Linked DNA regions of Oryctolagus cuniculus. The protein of the gene in region 1 purifies or fractionates together with the protein of each later gene. This does not show direct contact. Links are inferred from orthologs where the notes say so. Each region holds a gene or a part of one and is shown on either strand. Other genes may lie near its edges.

Region 1 (8,509 bases):
CCCCTACAGCATCAAGAGGCTTCCTTCTACCTCGGCGCCCCACGGTCCTGCCGTGTCACCCTCACCATGGAGCCTGCAAATGCAGAGCCCTGGGCCTCGCCTCAGTGCCCCCAATCAGAAGCTGCAGCTGCATCTGATCCTGCAGTCATCCAGGGGTGGTGGGAAGCAGGGGGGCGGGGAGCCCCGCTCCAGACTCCCCCGCTTGGATGCTCCCTGGGCTGCTAAGCAGGAGCACCCCTGTGCAGGTCCCCTGGCCCCTGCTGGAACCTCCCATGGCTCCCCACTGCCTTCAGGATCAATCCCGGCTCAGCCTTGCACAGCGGGCACTTTGCAGCTAGCCGCCTCTCAGGCAGCCCCACCCCGCACAGCGCTCCCCCACTGCGGGGCCAGGTGGCTCCCCTCTGCGCCCTCGCCCCGGCTGATTCTCCCACCCAGACGCTCTTCTCCTCCTTCCACCCTCCCCACCCAGCAACTTGGGCTCAGCTGCAGCTCCAGCCCTGTCCCCGCCCCGGCTGCCCCAGCAGTGCTCTGGGCCTCCTCCCACGCTCTCTTAGAACAGATCCAGACCAGCAGCAAGGGGAGGGGGACGGGCTGTGTGCTCCTTATTCCTGTTGGACCTGACACAGGCCTGGTAAGTGCCAGGCAGCTGGCACAGCGGGTAGAAGGAAGGCGCCTGCTGTGCTCTGTGCTCTGGGAGAGAAGCCTTAGCCAGGACAGCACCAGGGCCTGCCAAGGGTACCCCCGATAAAAACAACCCCCCCACCCCAGCACCCTTCAGCCCCACGGGGCCCCCTCCCCTGCCCTGCAAGGGCTCTGGAGGCAGGGTGGTGCCTGCGTCCGCTCTGCCCTGGGCTTGCCCCAGGGCCAGCCCCCGCTCATTTATACCCTACAAGCTGGGGCTCCAGAAACCGTGCCAGCCACCGGCCAGCAGCCAAGCAGCTGAGGAGGCACATACACGTAGCCGATGACGTCAGCATCCGGCTGCTGGTAGAATGCTTTGTCGGCGATCCTTCAGGGCGAGGTTAGGGGTTAGGTCAGGGAGAAGGGTGGCAAGACAGACAAGGTAGGCAGCCAGGCAGGCAGAGGGTTAAAGAGAAAGAGAGACAGCGTTAGTACCTCTGGCAGGAGAGGTGTCGGGAAGGCTCGGCCCCACCCGGCAGAGGGGCAATCTTCTGTCCTGGCCACGGTGCCGCTTCCAAAACTGGGCCCTGAACCTGTTACTTGTCCTGCCAGGCTCCCTGTGGGACCTGGTCAGCCAAGGCCCGCCCAACGTCCCAGGCGGCGCCTGGATCTAGAATGCCTTCCCATAACCCCTGCTTCCTTTTTCCCCAGAACTCCTAGTCATCCTCCAAAGCCCAAGGCCCCAGGCCCTGAGGTTCCGCACCCAGCGCTTCTCGCTTCCTTTGCTTCCATGGCCACCACACTGAGGGCCCTGCAAGGTCGGCAGTGCATGCCTCTCTCTCTCCTCTCAGCTTTCCGAGGACACACAGGGCCTCCTGTGTGTGCACCCAGCTCCATACCTGCCATGGGCAGTTTCTTGAACAGAGTGTGGCAGCTCCCCACGTGGTGTTGCCCTTCCTGAGAGAGCCTGCAGCTGGAGGGGCCCAGCCCGCGGGCATCTCGGGGTGTTGGCTGGTGCAGCCCTGCCGCTTCACCTGCGGGCATGCACCCCCTTCCTTAAGAATGGCACCTGTTGTCCTCGGCAGCCTCAGGCTGCCCCCACTTCAGTCCCTAAGGTTTGGGTGGCACAGACGCCCATACCTCAACCAAGGAATATGACCATCACCCCCGAGGGGGGCCCAGTGGAGCGCCCCTCGTCCTGGCAAGTCACTGGGCCTGCCGTGGGTCAGGGACAGGGGCAAGGACTTCGGCAGGAGCCATCTGAAGCCAGATGCAGCATTCAGGGGGCTTCCGAGAGCACAGCACAGAAGCCTGGAGCTGCTGGTGGCCATCTCTGCCCCCCCACCCCCGCCAGCAGCGTGTGCCCAAGACTGAAGCCCACACAGAGGGAGGCAGACTGAGGGCCAGAAACAGTGGGCGCCTATTGCATCTGAGCCCCTCGTGTCCCTGTGGCCCCTGTCGTGTCCCCACAGCCCCTCGTGTCCCCACAGCCCCTCATGTCCCCACAGCCCCTCGCGTCCCTGCAGCCCCTCGCGTCCCCACAGCCCCTCATGTTCCCACAGCCCCTCATGTCCCCACAGCCCCTCATGTCCCCACAGCCCCCTCGCGTCCCTGCAGCCCCTGTCGTGTCCCCACAGCCCCCTTGCGTCCCTGTGGCCCCCGTCATGTCCCCACAGCCCCCTCGTGTCCCTGCAGCCCCCGTCATGTCCCCATAGCCCCTCACGTCCCTGTGGCCCCCGTCATGTCCCCACAGCCCCTCGCGTCCCTGTGGCCCCTGTAATGTCCCCACAGCCCCTCACGTCCCTGTGGCCCCTGTCATGTCCCCACAGCCCCTCGTGTCCCTGCAGCCCCCGTCATGTCCCCACAGCCCCTCGTGTCCCTGTGGCCCCCGTCATGTCCCCACAGCCCCTTGTGTCCCTGTGGCCCCCGTCGTGTCCCCACAGCCCCCTCATGTCCCTGCAGCCCCCGTCATGTCCCCACAGCCCCTCGCGTCCCTGTGGCCCCAGTCATGTCCCCACAGCGCCCTTGCGTCCCTGGGCCCCTGTCATGTCCCCACAGGCTCTCACCGGTTGTTGATCTTGTTCTTCTCAACCTGTTCGCTTTGGCGCTGGTTCCACTCCTCCAGGTCCTTCTTGGCCTTCTCCCGCCACTCCTGTTCGGTCACCTTAGAGGCGGCATCTAGGACCCCACAGGAGAATGAGTGGCAGCTCTTCCGGTGGGATGCCAGGGCACAGCTGCCCCTCCCTGCAGCCCCAGGACCCCCGCCCTCCGCCAGCTCCCACACGGAGACACCACCGGGTCCTATACACCCTTTGCTTCCCTAGTCCGCCCATGCCGCATCCCAGCCCAGCCCCAGGCTCGGCCCGGTCCTCACCCAGCTCTTGCAGCCGTTTCTTCTGCTCCTCCCTCCATCTGCGGATGCTCTCGGGCTCCTGAGTCAGCCTGTCAGCCTGGGCGATGGCAGCGTAGCCGTCGGCAGGCCCATTAGCCTCCTAGGACACAGACACATGGCTGTGCAGGGACCTGCACACCTGCCCACTATCTCTGCTTGCCCTGCTGGGGAACCCGAGCATCAGAGTGCTTCTCACATCTGGACAGCCAGACAGCCTCAAACCCCTCGTACCCACCGTCCCCTGCCTTTGCACTTGCTGTTCCCTGCCGGCGCCACTCCTACTGCTGGGCGACCCTGGGTAAGCTACTCAACCTCTCTGTGCCTGACATTTGTGCCCAGTCGGCCACGTTCATTCACACCCCACAAGCAGGAGACTCAGGAAACCACGCGGCAGCCACCTTCTTCGACATGCAATGGGCTAAGCAATCGCCCCACCCAGAGAGTATGACACTGGTTAGAATGTCCGCGTGCCATTTGGGGGCGCCTGGGTGTCATGCCCAGCTCCACAGCTCCTGACTCTGGCTTCCGGCTAATGTGGTCCCTGGGAGGCAGTGGTGATGCCGCAAATCATGGCATTCCTACCACTCATGAGGGAGAGCTGGGTTGTGTTCTGGCTCCTACTTCAGCCCAGCCTGGTCCTGGCCATGGAGAGTGAAGCAGTGGATGGGAAATCTGTCTGTTTCTCTCTTTCACTCTGTCTTTCTTTAAAAAAAAAATATTTATTTAGGGGCCAGCGCTGTGGGGTAGCGGGTAAAGCTACCACCTGCAGTGCCGGCATCTCATATGGGCGCCGGTTCAAGACTCGGCTGCTCCACTTCTTTTTTTTTTTTTTTTTTAAAGATTTATTTATTTATTTGAAAGTCAGAGTTACACAGAGAGAGAAGGAGAGGCAGAGAGAGAGAGAGGGGTCTTCCATCTGCTGGTTCACTCCCCAGTTTGCCGCAACGGCCAGAAATTCACCAATCCGGAGCCAGGAGCTTCTTCCCAGTCTCCCACGTGGGTGCAGGGGCCCAAGTACCTGGGCCATCTTCTGCTGCTTTCCCAGGCCATAGCAGAGAGGTGCATTGGAAGAGGAGCAGCTGGGTCTTGAACCAGTGCCCATATGGAATGCTGGCGCTTCAGGCCAGGGTGTTAACCTGCTGTGCCACAGCGCCAGCCCCCAAGACTCAGCTGCTCCACTTCTGATCCAGCTCCCTGCTGTGGCCTGAGAGGGCAGTGGAGGATAGTCCACGTCCTTGGGCCTCTGCATCCACATGGGAGACCCAGAAGAAGCTCCTGGCTTCTGGCTTCGGATCGGCACAGCTCCAGCCATTGCAGTCAATTGGGGAGTGAAGCATCTCCCTCTCTCTCTCTGCCTCACCTCTCTCTGTAACTCTGACTTTCAAATAAATAAATCTTAAAAAAAAAAAAAAAAAAGGAAGTGGCAGAGAGGCTGGTGTTGTGGTACAACGGGTTAAAACCATTGCCTGCAGCACCGCATCCCATATGGGTGCCGGTTTGATCCCTGGCTGCTCCACTTCTGATCCTGTTCCCTGCTGATGGCACCTGGGAGAGAAGCAGAGGATGATCCAAGTGCTTGGGTCCCTGCACCCACGTGGCAGACTCAGAAGAAGCTTCTAGCTCCTGCCCAGTCCTGGCTGTTGTGGCCATTTGGGGAGTGAATCAGCCGATGGAAGACCTCTCTGTGTGTCTCTCCCTCTCTCTCTGTAACTCTGCCTTTCAAATAAATAAATAAATCTTTAAAAAATAAAATGGCAGAACCAGGGCCCGAGCCCAGGCCTCCAACTCCCAGCCTGGGGTCTGCCCATTTCTCCCCACTGCCTTCCAGAGAGGGGGACTCCAAGCTCAGCCCAGCAAGGATGGGGCGCCCCTCCACCCCCCGATCTGGCATTCCTTTCTGAAGCATGGAGCCCTGGGTCCTGCCACACCCACTGGGGCGCCAGACAATGGGCATTCCTGTCTGCATGCAGCCCACACACTGGCAGCCCGCAGTGCCCAGGGCCTGCTGGCACGATCAGTTTGTGCCCATCTCTCTGCCCTTCTCTGCCCGCTGAACTCACTCTGGGCTAGTTCCCAGCCCCCAGGCATGTGCCCGGCCCCCTCCTCTCCACACGCCCTGCCTTTCCTACCTTCTACTGGAGTTTTCCTGGCTGGATCAGGGGCTCTCAGGGGGCACTATTTGCACCCGAACCCTTGTCCTGTGCTTTCGTGGCACCCTGCCCCCAATCCTCCTCCTTCAGGCACTTAGCAAAACTGCCCTGGTTGCCCATGTTGTTGGTCGTCTTGTCTCTGCACATGGGACAAGGTCTGGCATGGCCTCTGTCTTCAGCACACTGAATCCGTGAGGACCCGCAGAGCCAGCTTGGTGCTGGCTCCCAGGAGGAAGTGTTTGCCCAAGGCGTGTGCCCAGGACGAAGGGGCACAGGGAACATTGGCCTCCGTCTCTGATGTCTGGGGATCGAGGGAAGGGCGAGCTCGGGCAGGGAGTCTCTGATTAGGCCCAGCCCAGGGGTGGGGCACCTGGGATACTACCTGACTCCCACACAAAGCAGAATGACCCCTCTCCCACAACTTCCAGTGAGTGGGCAATTGCCAGGGCCATAGGAGGAGAACGCAGGTGGGTGGCTGATTACTCCCTTACCCTCGCTAGAAACAGCCCCAGTCTGCTGAGCCCTGGCTCCTGGGGCCTCCCCCTGCCCCGGCCCTGCCCAGTCATGCATGAGTAACCTTCCCTCTGCAGACGTGCCCAGTGGCTGCGTGCGTGGCTTTGTCCCAATGCTCCCTTCAATCCCCTGCTCAGCCCTGTAGCTGTGTGGACTATCCATCCCGCTCCAAGAAAGCTACCCCCATGAGGTCACAAAAGTATGAAACAAAGGAAGCAATCAAATAGAGGCATCCACCTGACTTCCAGCCGATCGCTGGAAGCAAACAGGCTGAAGGGGCGCTCCCCATCCCCGCCCTGGCCCGAGTGCGAGTCTAACAGGCATCTCCGCCTTCATATGAGTTTCCATTCCCCAGACTCGCTCCTCTCCTCTTTCCCCCATCTTGGTAAAAGGCACTGTAATCCATTCCCTGCCTGAGGCCCAAGCCTCACGCTTGCCCTCCGAGATCTCCCCTTCCTTCCCAGCTCGCACCCCACCGATCAGCAATGGCTCAGATATGAGGCTGCCATGATAGAATCACTTCCTGTCTTCTGCCCCTGCTGCCTCCGCCCAGCAGCCACCCTGCAGACCCAGCCACTGTGCCTCCCTCTCCACACAACGCCACCGTGACCTGTTCAAAGCCCACACTAGATGATACCACAAGTTCAAGAGTGTCCACAGGCCTTTCCCTGCGGCCAGCGGGCAGCCCAAGGGCTACAGCCTCTCCAGCAGGCTGGTGCCGCAGCAAGCTCAGCATGTGCCCGCCCAGGGTCTCTGTCTGAACTTCCTGCCCACAGATTCCAGGACCTACATTTTGCAAGGGCTCCCCGTCTCTTCAGGCTTCAGCCCTGAGATTTTCTCTAAGCCCCCTGCTCCCAGGCCTGCTGACCTCCCCCCACCGCCCCGGCCCTGGCTGCAGCAGCCTCACCTCCCCGTAACCACTTGTCTAGCAATTGCCCTGCAGCCAGCCCAGGGTCTCCATGCATCTGCAGAGTCAGCCAACCACGGGTGGCGCCCTGTAGGTGGACCCACCAAGGGACTGCATCCATCCTGGATGCAGGCTTGTAGTTCTTGTCACTATTTCTTAAAAAAAAAAAAAAAAAAAAAAAAAAAAAAAAAAAAATACACAGTGTAGCGACTCTTTCTATAGCGTTTACACTGGATTAGGAGAGATGATTTAAAGTAGAGGAGAGGTGCGCCTAGGTTCCAGGCAAATCCAGTGCCATTTGACGTAGAGGACTTGGGCATCCTCTGATTTCATTATCTGCAGGTTTCTGGAACCCATGCCCCACAGATACCACAAGGATGACTGTGTTTTACTCCCTTAGCGCTCTGCGAAATGACTTGTCAGCTTATTGCCTGCCTTGCCCTGCCCCTAAGTAAGCAAGCTCCAGGGCAACAGCAGCCTGCAGGCTCCACACAGGCTCTGGACAGGGAGGGCCCGGGGCAGGATTCAGGAATGCTTCCTGAATGATGTCACAGATGGCAGGTTTGGGGACAAGGATGAACAGGACAGCCTATCTCCTGGGAGCGGGACAGGGGAGCGGGGTGGGGCAGGGGAGCTGGTGGCTCCAGAGACAGCGCGTGGGTTAGTGCCGCTGCTGCACACTAAGCCTATAGATGCTCCATGGCTAGGGCAGGGGCACTGAAGAAGGGGTCACTTCCCAGGGTGCCCTTCAGGGCTCACCGTCTCCATAAAGCCTGCCCTAAAATTATGACTCCAGAGAACTTGCACGCAAATGATTGGCTCTGATCTTTACAGCTCCACGTGGCCGGTTTTATTAGCCTCCTTTTACAGGTAGTGGAACCCTAAACTCCAAAGTGCTAAGGTCACCCAGCTGGGAAGTGGCAGAACCCAGATTTCAAACTCGGTGTGAACGTCCTTGTCCCAGAGGAAGTAGCTCAAGGGGGACCAGTCACATCTGCATCCCAGGATTAGTGGGGCTTCCTCTCTGTGCCCCTGATGAGTCTGCCTTCCCAGGGGTGGAGACTGTGTCTCCACACACAGGCTTCCCCTCCACTCACACGGTGGCTGGGTCAAGAGTTTTAAGAAGCTGGGTCTAAGATTTCTACAAAGCCCTGTTCTCAACAGCCCGGTGGGGGCAGCAGGCGGAGCCTCCAATCCCATTTCTCCAGATGAGAGACTTAAGGCTCAGGTGATTAAGTGACTGGTCCAAGATCGCCAGGCTGGGACAAAGCAGGAAAGGAAGCCCTGGTCTTCTGCTTCAATCTGTAGCCCGCAGCCCACAGCCTGGGCGGGGGTTTCTGTCTCCTGGAACAGCTGAGCTGCACATCCAGGGCACTGCTCGGCATCTTCCTCAGCCGGCCCCCTCTAGGCACAGGGTGCAGATTCTGCCCAAGCTAAGTCTGCTTTTCTCCCATGTGCGCACCAAAGGCACTAACCCGCATAGAGCTCCCTACCCCGCCCCGCCCCGCCCTGCTGCAGGCACCAGCTCAGTACCTTTGGCTCCTCCAGGCTGGCATGGTCACAGACCTCTGTGCAGCAGGCCCCAGCTGTGGGTGAGCCCCAGCGTCTTGCCCTCTGTGTCTGCACATGCTGTTCCCTGGGCCCGGACCACCCACATCCCCCTGGGCAGTCTCCAATCCCACTTCCTGCAGCCCCTCCCTGTTGCATTCCCTGATTCCATGCAGGCCTGGGCGTCTGCTCCTGGATTCAAGTCCCATCTCTTCCTGGCCGTTTAACCAGAGAAGCTTTTACACTTCTTCAGGGGGGAAATGGGCTGTGTGGCATGACAGCAGCTGCCACACATGGTGCTGGGGGATTCAAGGTGCTCTTAGGTGGCGGAGGACATGGGGCGGGAACCCAGACCGTCAACCCTAACTGCTACCCCGG
Region 2 (9,301 bases), on another chromosome or scaffold:
CACTTGACGCGGAGCTTCAGAGCTCTGGCCTTGACCTCCAGCTCGCCCCAGACTGTGCCTTGGACTTGGTCCTTGGCCTTCTGTGCTCGGGGCCAGCTCTGATGGGCTGCCCAGACCCAATTCAGGCCTCTTGGGACCCACTTCCCTTGGTGCTCAGTGCTGTGGACAGAGAAATTGAGGGGCAGCAGGCTGCTCTCGGGCAGGCCATGTGCCCCGGGCGCCTCTTTCCCGCAGCACCACGCCAGATCCCAGCAGTGAAGATGGCTGGCATAGAAGCTCCAGCGCCTCCTCCGCCCCATCCAGGTCTACCCTGTCCCACACCAGGCCTGCACAGGAAGCCTCAGGCCCAGAATGTGACAGAGCCCAGAGATGTACTGCAAATCCCTGCAGAACAGGAGTCATCCTTCACACGACATCTCAATTCTCTGCAAGCTGTGCGGAGCGACTAGACGTGGCACTTCCTCAATGCGAAACATCGGGGGCAGAGCCAGTGCCTCCCCTCCACTGAGTGCTTCCTGCCGTCCAGACGTGGGGCAGCCCACGCTGCCACGCGAGGACAAGTGGAAGCATCCCAGGACACAGCTGGCCTCCTCTCTCTGTGATAGAGCATTGCACCAGGCTGCATCCGTGGGGTGGGGAGTGGGGGGTCTGGGAGGGACAGGGTGCCTGGGTGCCCACCCTGGCCATGGCCATGGCCTTGGCCTTGGAAAGAAACACATTCTCCTCCTGCTTTTCCACAGGAGGTTGGCGGGGGGTGGGGTGGTGGTGGGAGTTCCCCAGGGGCCGACTCACACGCACCTGTCGCTGATTTCCAGGCCAGTGCAGAGCAGGGATGGGGCGCACTGCCATCAGTCACAGGGCCTGGGGAAGCAGCGGCAGGTGTGGGTGGTGCAGGGGCTGCCCTGGGTGCAGTGTGTTAGTGACAAGGTGGGGAGGGAAGACCCCCGCTCAGCGAGAGGGTGCTTGTCCCCAAGCCCTGCAGTCCTGAGTCCCCCCTGGGGCTTGGCGCCGAGGATGGGATCCTGGTCTCTGCTATGTGCACCCCCCCCCAGCATGCCTGAGCCTCGCAAAGCACCCTGGGACCTGCTGCAGGTGTGCCAGGGTCTAGGGTGAAGCTGGCGCTGAGATGGGCCTGGCTCTCTAAGGCACCAGCTGCCGGGCATCGGGGTGGAGTGGGGGGAGAGTGGACCACACAAGGAGCCTACACTGAGGGCCTCCTCCATTCCCTGGAGCTCAAAGCCAGGGTGGCCACCTGAGCCTGCCCATCAGCAGAGAAAGGCCAAGGCACTGGCCATCTTGAGAGATAGCGGACAGAGGAGGAGCCCCAGACCCAGGCTGAGGCTGGGCAAGCCCCTGGCAGCAGCAGCACCTCCAGTGAGACCCTTCCCACACAGCTTCGGTGTTGTGTTTCTTCTAAAATGGAGAGGAGCGGCACTGTGGCATAGCAGGCAAAGCCACCACATGCGATGCCGGCATCCCATATGGGCACTGGTTCAAGTCCTGGCTGCTCTGCTTCCGATCCAGCTCTCTGCTATGGCCTGGGAAAGCAGTAGAAGATGGCCCAAGTACTTGGGCTCCTGCACCTGCATGGGAGACCTGGAAGAAGCTCCTGGCTTCGGATCAGCCCAGTCCTGGCTGGGGAGTGAACCAGCAGATAGAAGACCTTTCTCTCTGTATTCCCCTCCCTCTGCCTTTCAAATAAATAAAATTAATTAATTAGTTAAAAAGGAGAAAGAAAAAGGGACAGTGTCGCTTAGTAGAGCGGATGGTTGGTAGAGGCCCATGGATTCTCTGCGTATTACGTGCTGGGGTCCTTGCCCCTCCCTGGAATCCTCTCGCTGAGGCCTGCCATGCCGCACCCCCCCCCCCCCGCCTCGCCCCGCCCCACCCCAGCCTGTGTTTGAATCGTGCGTGTTCTGAAGCCAGGCCTCCCCTGCGCTCACACCCTGTGCCCTGGGATTGGCTGGGTTGTCCCCCCAGCGTCTTCTGTGGAACAACTCCTCCACTTCTTTCAGCACCTCCAAGGCAGAGACACAGGCCCAGAGACGCCCAGCGACCTGCCCAAAACAACCAGCTGATGAGCAGCAGAGCAAGGACTTCCTGCAGCGCTGCCAGGCCCCGGGTCTGCGCGTGGACCCTAGGGGCTGGCCAGCCAAGGCGTGCCTAAAACCCTGGGTCCTCTAAAGGCTCGGGATTCTTGCAGCTGTGACGTTTGGGGGCCTAAAGGGGCCCATACTGAGGGCCTTGGACATATATTTCCGAAGAGTGAATTTAGAGACGCTCCCTGGCAGCCTCAGGGGTTCGGAGCAAAGGTTGCCTCCAAGTGAGGTCCTCTTGTGCCAGCCCCCTCCCACCCCCACTTCTGGGCTGGCAACGGCCCCTCCCTGTCCTGTGTCTCTCTGGGTGCCAAAGGGCAGCTTAATCCACTGTGCCTTGGTGCTGGGCCCCCTTCATTGCTTTTTTTTTTTTTCTAATTTTTTGACAGGCAGAGTGGACAGTGAGAGAGAGAGACAGAGAGAAAGGTCTTCCTTTGCCGTTGGTTCACCCTCCAATGGCCGCTGCGGCCGGCGCATCGCGCTGATCCGAAGCCAGGAGCCAGGTGCTTCTCCTGGTCTCCCATGGGGTGCAGGGCCCAAGCACTTGGGCCATCCTCCACTGCACTTCGGGCCACAGCAGAGAGCTGGCCTGGAAGAGGGGCAACCGGGACAGAATCCGGCGCCCCGACCGGGACTAGAACCTGGTGTGCCGGCGCCGCAAGGCGGAGGATTAGCCTAGTGAGCCGCGGCACCGGCGCTTCATTGCTTTTAAAACAAAGTCAGTCCATGAGCCTAGGTAAGCCCACCACGTGGGACTCGAAGCATCTGAGCCATGGCTGTGGCTCTTCCACTGGTTCCAGAGCGGGCTGAGGCCTCGACCCCGCCCCTGCTCCTTGTAAGCCAGGAGACCTCGGGTGAGAGCGCCTACTGTGTAACAGGTGAACAGTGGGCCTCACAAGGCCATCAAGAATGGGGAAAATGGCGAAATTAAGACCCCTGGCTGAAAACGACCCCCATTGTCCTGGTATCCTACCTGGCCCCCACGGGCTGGGCTCTCCCCCGCCCTGGCCACCTAGCTGGGACTGCTGATGTGACTGTCACAGCTCCAAAGCATTCTCCCCAGAGGCCCGCCGACTTCCAAGTGGAGCCACCCTGCTCCGTCCGTAGTTAGCAGGAGCTCCCGAGAGCCGGGCACTTAGGGGACAGCCGGTGACCTGGCTGCTTTGTTAGCGGAAGGGGCATTCCTGCAGCTTCTGTCCAGCACGGCCCCGGCTTCCCCTGGCCCCTGCCCTCCACAGCCCCTGGGTGCTCACTGAGGGATTAACAATAGCAGCAGCAGCCAGAGGACGCCTCGACCATGGTGGTGGTGGGGGGCGGGGGGCTGCTAGGCTGTCCGTTCTGTCCCCTCTCGGGCTTATCAGTGGTCCACAAGCAATGCTTGTGCTGGAATGGGCTTGGGCGGAAGTCATGGGCCACCGATGTCACAAGCTGATTAAAGCCACCAGGGGTCACGCCCCAGGGGGCACACTCAGACTTTTCCCTGCTCCCTCTCCGTTATGACACTGCAGAGCACCTACGGGCTGCAGGCTGAGAGATCCCCACGTGGCCCGCAGCCGGTGAGGGTGACGGGGACAGGTGCTGCCCAGCCCAGTGCACACAGGGGGTGCCCCGTCTGGGCCCAGCAGCCCCATCCCAGAGGCAGCGCCTGGCTGAGTGTGGAGCACATCCCAGTGGCTGTCCACTTCAGTGTCCTCAGCCTTGAAAACCGGAAGGAGAGGACTAGGGGCGGATGTCCCATGCTGATGGTGTTGCATGACAATCTGAAATCTGAGGCTCTGAGACACTCTCAAGGTTCCCCTGTACGCTTCTGTCAACAACAACAAACGGCCCTGGCTGGCGCACGGAACAACCAGGCTCTGGGGAAGGGGATCCCGGCGCCCGGCCAGCACACACCTGCCCATGGCACCGCCGAGGACACATCCTCGCTTGCCTATGTGCACTTGTCCGGGTCGGACCCCGGACTCAATTCACCTTGCACGGCCCCCGGACACTCTCGGAACCGAGTTCACTCTCCCACGCACGCACACCTGCTCTGGAGGGGCCGGCCCAGGGGGTCCCAGTCCACTTTCCCGCGCACTCCCTCGAAGCCAAGGCCACCTTGGCGCGCAACTGCCCCGGGCACCCAGCCGGCCACAGCGCCAACGCTCTCCAGGCCCGGGACGAGGAGGAGGGTGCGGGCGGCGCCGGCCAGAGCAGCGGCGCCCCGGACTACTTTTCGCGGACCCTCCGGACGGGCGGAGGGATCCTCATAGGGCGCGCGCGGAGGGATCCGCATAGGGCGCGCGCTCGGGGGGCGCGGTGCCGGCGACCCGGGACAGTGCGCCTGCGCCGCCGCCGCCGCCACCGCCGCCGCCGCCGGTCTGTCCGCGCGAGGGGAGCCGCCACCGCCTCGGCCCGGCGCCCACCATGGCGCAGATCCTCCCCATCCGCTTCCAGGAGCACTTCCAGGTGAGGTCGGGCCCCGACGCCGCGGCCGGGCGGGCTCCGGGGGGTGGGTCGCGCGCTGGGTCCTGTCAGCCGCGCCCCCCGGCCGGCCGGCCGGCTGACCGCCCGGGGGGCAGGCCTCTGGTCTCACGGCCCCGCGCCCCTCGCCCTGCGGTGCCGCTGGCCCCCCGCCGCAAGCCGCGGGCGGACACCTGGGTCGGGGTCCGGCTCGGGAGCCGCGCGTGCGGACGCTTTCGGGGCGCTGTCGCTCGGCGGCTCGGCGGGGGGCGCCCGGCGTCCGGAGCGCTGGGAGAGCTCGGGGGTGGGCACCGCACCGCACGCCTTGGAAACTCCGAGTCCAGCTTCCATTCTCTTCTCTGTGTCTTGCGACCCTCACCGCTGAGTTTCCGTCTGTGGATCTGTCCCGGTCCCCCCTGGTGGCTGGTGGGGCAAGACAGTCAAATCCGTCTCGGATGCGTAGGATCGGCGTTTGTTATTGCCTGTCAGTTAGCATCCCTGGTATCCAAGTACAGGTGCTTTCGTTAGGACCCTCGAGTATGGCACCTGCTAACACACCGGTGCTGTAACACCCGCGAGGTTTTGCTCTGCCGTGAGGTCCCCATTTGCTCTGCCCAGCAGATTCGTGCTGGAAGGGGGGTGGTTCAGGAAGGTGGGCGCACCTGTGAAAAGGTGTCCGCTTACAGGGGGAGGGGTTGAGGCTGCCGAGGCCCTAGCTGAGGGCTACGTGCTAAGTGCTTCCTTTGAAATCATCACAGTCCCCTAGGGTACTGGATGAGGAAGCGCCGGGGGCACCAATGTTCATTCAGCAAACCGAGAGCGGGATTCAGACTTCAGACTTCGGGCTTCTTGGCTACACAGCTGTGGCAGCTGCCAGGAATGGGGTTGATGGAGAGGTGGTACTTGGGAGTTTCAGGGGGACCGGTCCGGCCCCCTCTGTCTGTGCCTTGGAAGGGATGCCCGGATGATCCTGCCCAGATCAGTTGGGGAGTCAGCCGGTTGAGGTCGCACAGGGTGGGGGTGGAAGCCTTGAACCTCCATCTCTCTCCCTAAGCTGGGGCAGCGCCAGTCAGGCGAGGTAGCAGAGTACCTGTTGATAAAACGAGGGTACTTCGGAGAGTTCATTGGCAGTGGCATTACAAGAAGTTTGGGGCGGGCATTTAGCCCTGCAGCTGAGAAGCGCGCATCACGGATCTAGACGATGTGGGTTTGGCTCCGGCTCCCCGCTCCCGGCTCTCGCCTCCCGCCTCCCGGGAATGCATCCCCAGGGGGCAGCAGTGACGCCCCAAGTAATGGAGCTCCTGCCACCCAGGAGGGAGTCTTGCATTGAGTTCCTGGTTTCCATCTTTGGCCCCAGGCAGCCTGGACCATTGTGGGCATTTGGGGAGTGAACCAGTGGATGGGAGTTTTTTTCTCTCTGTCTCTTTCGAGAACCTAAAAAAGAAAAAAAAAATTTTTTTAAAGAGGTGAGTTTATTTTGACACAAGAAAAGGCTTTGAAATCCATGCAGTTTTTTTTTTGTACTATATATTTTTACTGAACTTTTTGTTGCATGGGTTTCAAATTTTTTTTTTTATCAAAATAAGCTTCCCTTTTTATTCTGTTTTCCACAAACTTTTTGAAGTCCCCTCATACTTACCATTTATTGGGCCATTTGTCTTTTTAAAATGTGTGTGTGTGTGTATTTATTTATTTATTTGAAAGAGTTACAGAGAAAGAGAGGTTTTCCGTCTGCTGGTTTACCCCTCCAGTGGCGGCAGTGGTCTGCTGGGGCTGGGCCAGACTGGAGCCTGGAGCCAGGAGCCAGGAGCTTCTCCTGGGTCTCCCACATGGGTGCAGGGGCCCAAGGGCTTGGACCATCCTCTGCTTTCCCAGCACATTAGCGTGGAGCTGGATCAGAAGTGGAACAGCCAGGACTCGAGCTTGATGTCCATATGGGATGCTGATGTCTCAGCCAGCAACCTTACCTACTATGCCAAACCCAGCCCCAAGAGAGAGAAGTCGGCCGGCGCCGCGGCTCACTAGGCTAATCCTCCGCCTAGCGGCGCCGGCACACCGGGTTCTAGTCCCGGTTGGGGCGCCGGATTCTGTCCCGGTTGCCCCTCTTCCAGGCCAGCTCTCTGCTGTGGCCAGGGGGTGCAGTGGAGGATGGCCCAGGTGCTTGGGCCCTGCACCCCATAGGAGACCAGGAGAAGCACCTGGCTCCTGGCTCCTGCCATCGGATCAGCGCGGTGCGCCGGCCGCAGCGCGCCGGCTGCGGCGGCCATTGGAGGGTGAACCAACGGCAAAGGAAGACCTTTCTCTCTGTCTCTCTCTCTCTCACTGTCCACTCTGCCTGTCAAAAAAAAAAAAAAGAGAGAGAGAAGTCTTCCATGTGCTGGTTCACTCCCCGTTTGTCCACAATGGCCGGAGCTGTGCCTATCCAAACTCAGGAGCCAGGAGCTTCTTTCAGGTCTCCCACACAGGTGCAGGGGCCCAAGGACTTTAGCAGGGAGCTGAATTGGAAGTGGAGCAGCTGGGTCTTGGGATGCCATCACTGCAGGCAACGGCTTTACCTGCCAAGCCCCAGGCCCAGCCCCAAGAATGGGGCCTTCTTAACCCCCAGGCTCAGTGTCTGACTTGAGCCCTTTCTTTTGGACTGGATATATTAGAGATCTCTTTTCACTGAATCTTCCTAGGAACTGATGATAATCTCGTTTTTACCATAGTTGACTCAGGTGATTTCAGAGTCAGTGACAGCTCAGATCCCACCCAAGTCTCTGCTTCCATAGCCTGAACTTAACCTGCCGATCAAATGTGCTGTTTTCTTTAAAGACAAGAAAGCAATCAGCTGTTTTAAATGTCTGTCCACGGTGTCTTGAAGGGCTGTGTTCTGTCTCTCCTTTTTTTTTTTTTTTAAGATTTTATTTATTTGAGAGGCAGAGTTGCAGACAGAGAGAGAGGTCTTCCTTCTGCTGGCTCACTTCCCAGATGGCCACGAAGGCTGCAGCTGTGGCAATCAAAGCCAGGAGCCAGGAGTTTCTTCCGGGTCTCCCACGTGGGTGCAGGGACCAAGCACTTGGACCATCTTCTACAGCTTCAGCAGGGACCTGGATCGGAAGTGGAGCAGCTGGGACTTCAACCAGAGCCCATATAGGATGCTGGCACCCTCCGGTGGAGGCCTAACCTACTATGCCACAGCGCTGGCCCTAGGCTGTGTTCTCTTATCTGTAAAGTACTTGTGGCATGCAGACAATATAAATGAAACTCTGTGGTCTGTGGTCTCCGGATTACCCGGGTACTTGGCGGCTGCTCTGTGCCATCAGCACACTCTGCCTTCATGGCAGACATTTCAAAACTTAGGCTTGTTTTTGGATCTCTGATCCTGCCACACCCATCTTGCTGCCAGCCAGTGACTTGGCAGTGACATCACAGGGACATGACTGGGGAATGTTCATCCCCTCCAAGGCTTCAAACTTACAGACATCTCTTCCTGCCTTCCCGTCCCTCAGAAGTGGTGTCCTTAACCCTCATCTGTGTTCTGGATGCTGCGCTTTCTCTCCTCCAGGAAGGGCCTTGCTCAGTACCATCTTCTCTTTCCCTTGTTGTTTTTTGTTTGTTTGTTTTTGCCAGGCAGAGTTAGACAGTGAGAGAGAGAGAGACAGAGAGAGAGTTATAGACAGAGCAGAGAGAAAGGTCTTTCTTCCGTTGGTTCACCCCACTAATGGCCACTATGGCCGACGCTGCACCAATCTGAAGCCAGGAGCCGGGTGCTTCCTCCTGGTCTCCCATGCTGGTGCAGGACCCAAGCACTTGGGCCATCCTCCACTGCACTCCCGGGCCACAGCAGAGAGCTGGACTGGAAGAGGAGCGGCCAGGACTCAACCCAGTGACCATATGGGATGCTGGCACCACAGATGGAGGCTTTACCCACTGTGCCACAACGCCAGCCCTGAACACACTTCTTTCTGTCCCTTCGTCCTCCCCTCGAATCTCTTCCCTCAGAGACAGAGTGAAGGAATTGCCTTCTCTATCCAGCCACTCCTTGCTGTTTCTCAATAGCCTGCTGCCTGGTTTTGGCCTGACTCACTGTTCTTGCCAGGGTCACAGGGTCACAGGTCATCTATAAGGGCCAGATAGCTTGTATGTTAGGGTTGGAGGCCATATCCTGTCTCTGCTGAGGCTCCTTCTCCCTTTTATTTACCTTGTAAGCACTTCCCCAGCCGCCTTCATGGTGCTGCAGTTTGCTGGGGTTTCTCTTACCTTTTTACACACCCGTTTCCATGGTGGGCTCCTCGTGCACACGAGCTTGGGCTCTGCCTTGAGTCCCTTTGCCTTCTCATTCAGTGTGCTCTTCCGGGTGATTTTTAGGGATTCCAGTATGCTCAGTGTTCCCAGTGTTTTTGCTGAGCTGTGCACATGAGAAGCAAGAGCAGGCCCTGGTAACAGCTGAGATGAGGTCAGACTGAGCCATGAGATCTCGCCTCAGTACTCACTGGCTGTGGGAATTTGGGCAACATTTCTAACATTTTTAAAAAATATTTATTTATTCATTTGAAAGGCGCCGCGGCTCAATAGGCTAATCTTCCGCCTGCGGTGCCGGCACCCTGGGTTCTAGTCCTGGTCATTGCACCGGATTCTGTCCCAGTTGCTCCTCTTGCAGTCCAGCTCTTTGCTGTGGCCCGGGAGCGCAGTGGAGGATGGCCCAAGTGCTTGGGCCCTGCACCCGCATGGGAGACCAGGAGAAAGCACCTGGCTCCTGGCTTCGGATCAGAGCAGCACGC

The links.
Region 2: the proteins of CLTB (region 1) and CLTCL1 purify together in Homo sapiens (affinity purification with mass spectrometry; 3 studies listed by BioGRID and IntAct, with this or other methods). This does not show direct contact. The link is inferred for Oryctolagus cuniculus from reciprocal best matches to the Homo sapiens genes CLTB and CLTCL1.

Annotation. Positions count from the first base shown.
Region 1 is NC_091437.1:62,401,003-62,409,511, forward strand, and holds part of CLTB (clathrin light chain B), read right to left. Parts: intron 3,114-8,509; coding exon 2,996-3,113; intron 2,800-2,995; coding exon 2,688-2,799; intron 1,010-2,687; coding exon 956-1,009; intron 1-955. UniProt on the Homo sapiens protein: Clathrin is the major protein of the polyhedral coat of coated pits and vesicles.
Region 2 is NC_091452.1:27,068,940-27,078,240, reverse strand, and holds the start of CLTCL1 (clathrin heavy chain 2), read left to right. Parts: upstream 1-4,393; 5' UTR 4,394-4,502; coding exon 4,503-4,544; intron 4,545-9,301. UniProt on the Homo sapiens protein: Clathrin is the major protein of the polyhedral coat of coated pits and vesicles. Two different adapter protein complexes link the clathrin lattice either to the plasma membrane or to the trans-Golgi network.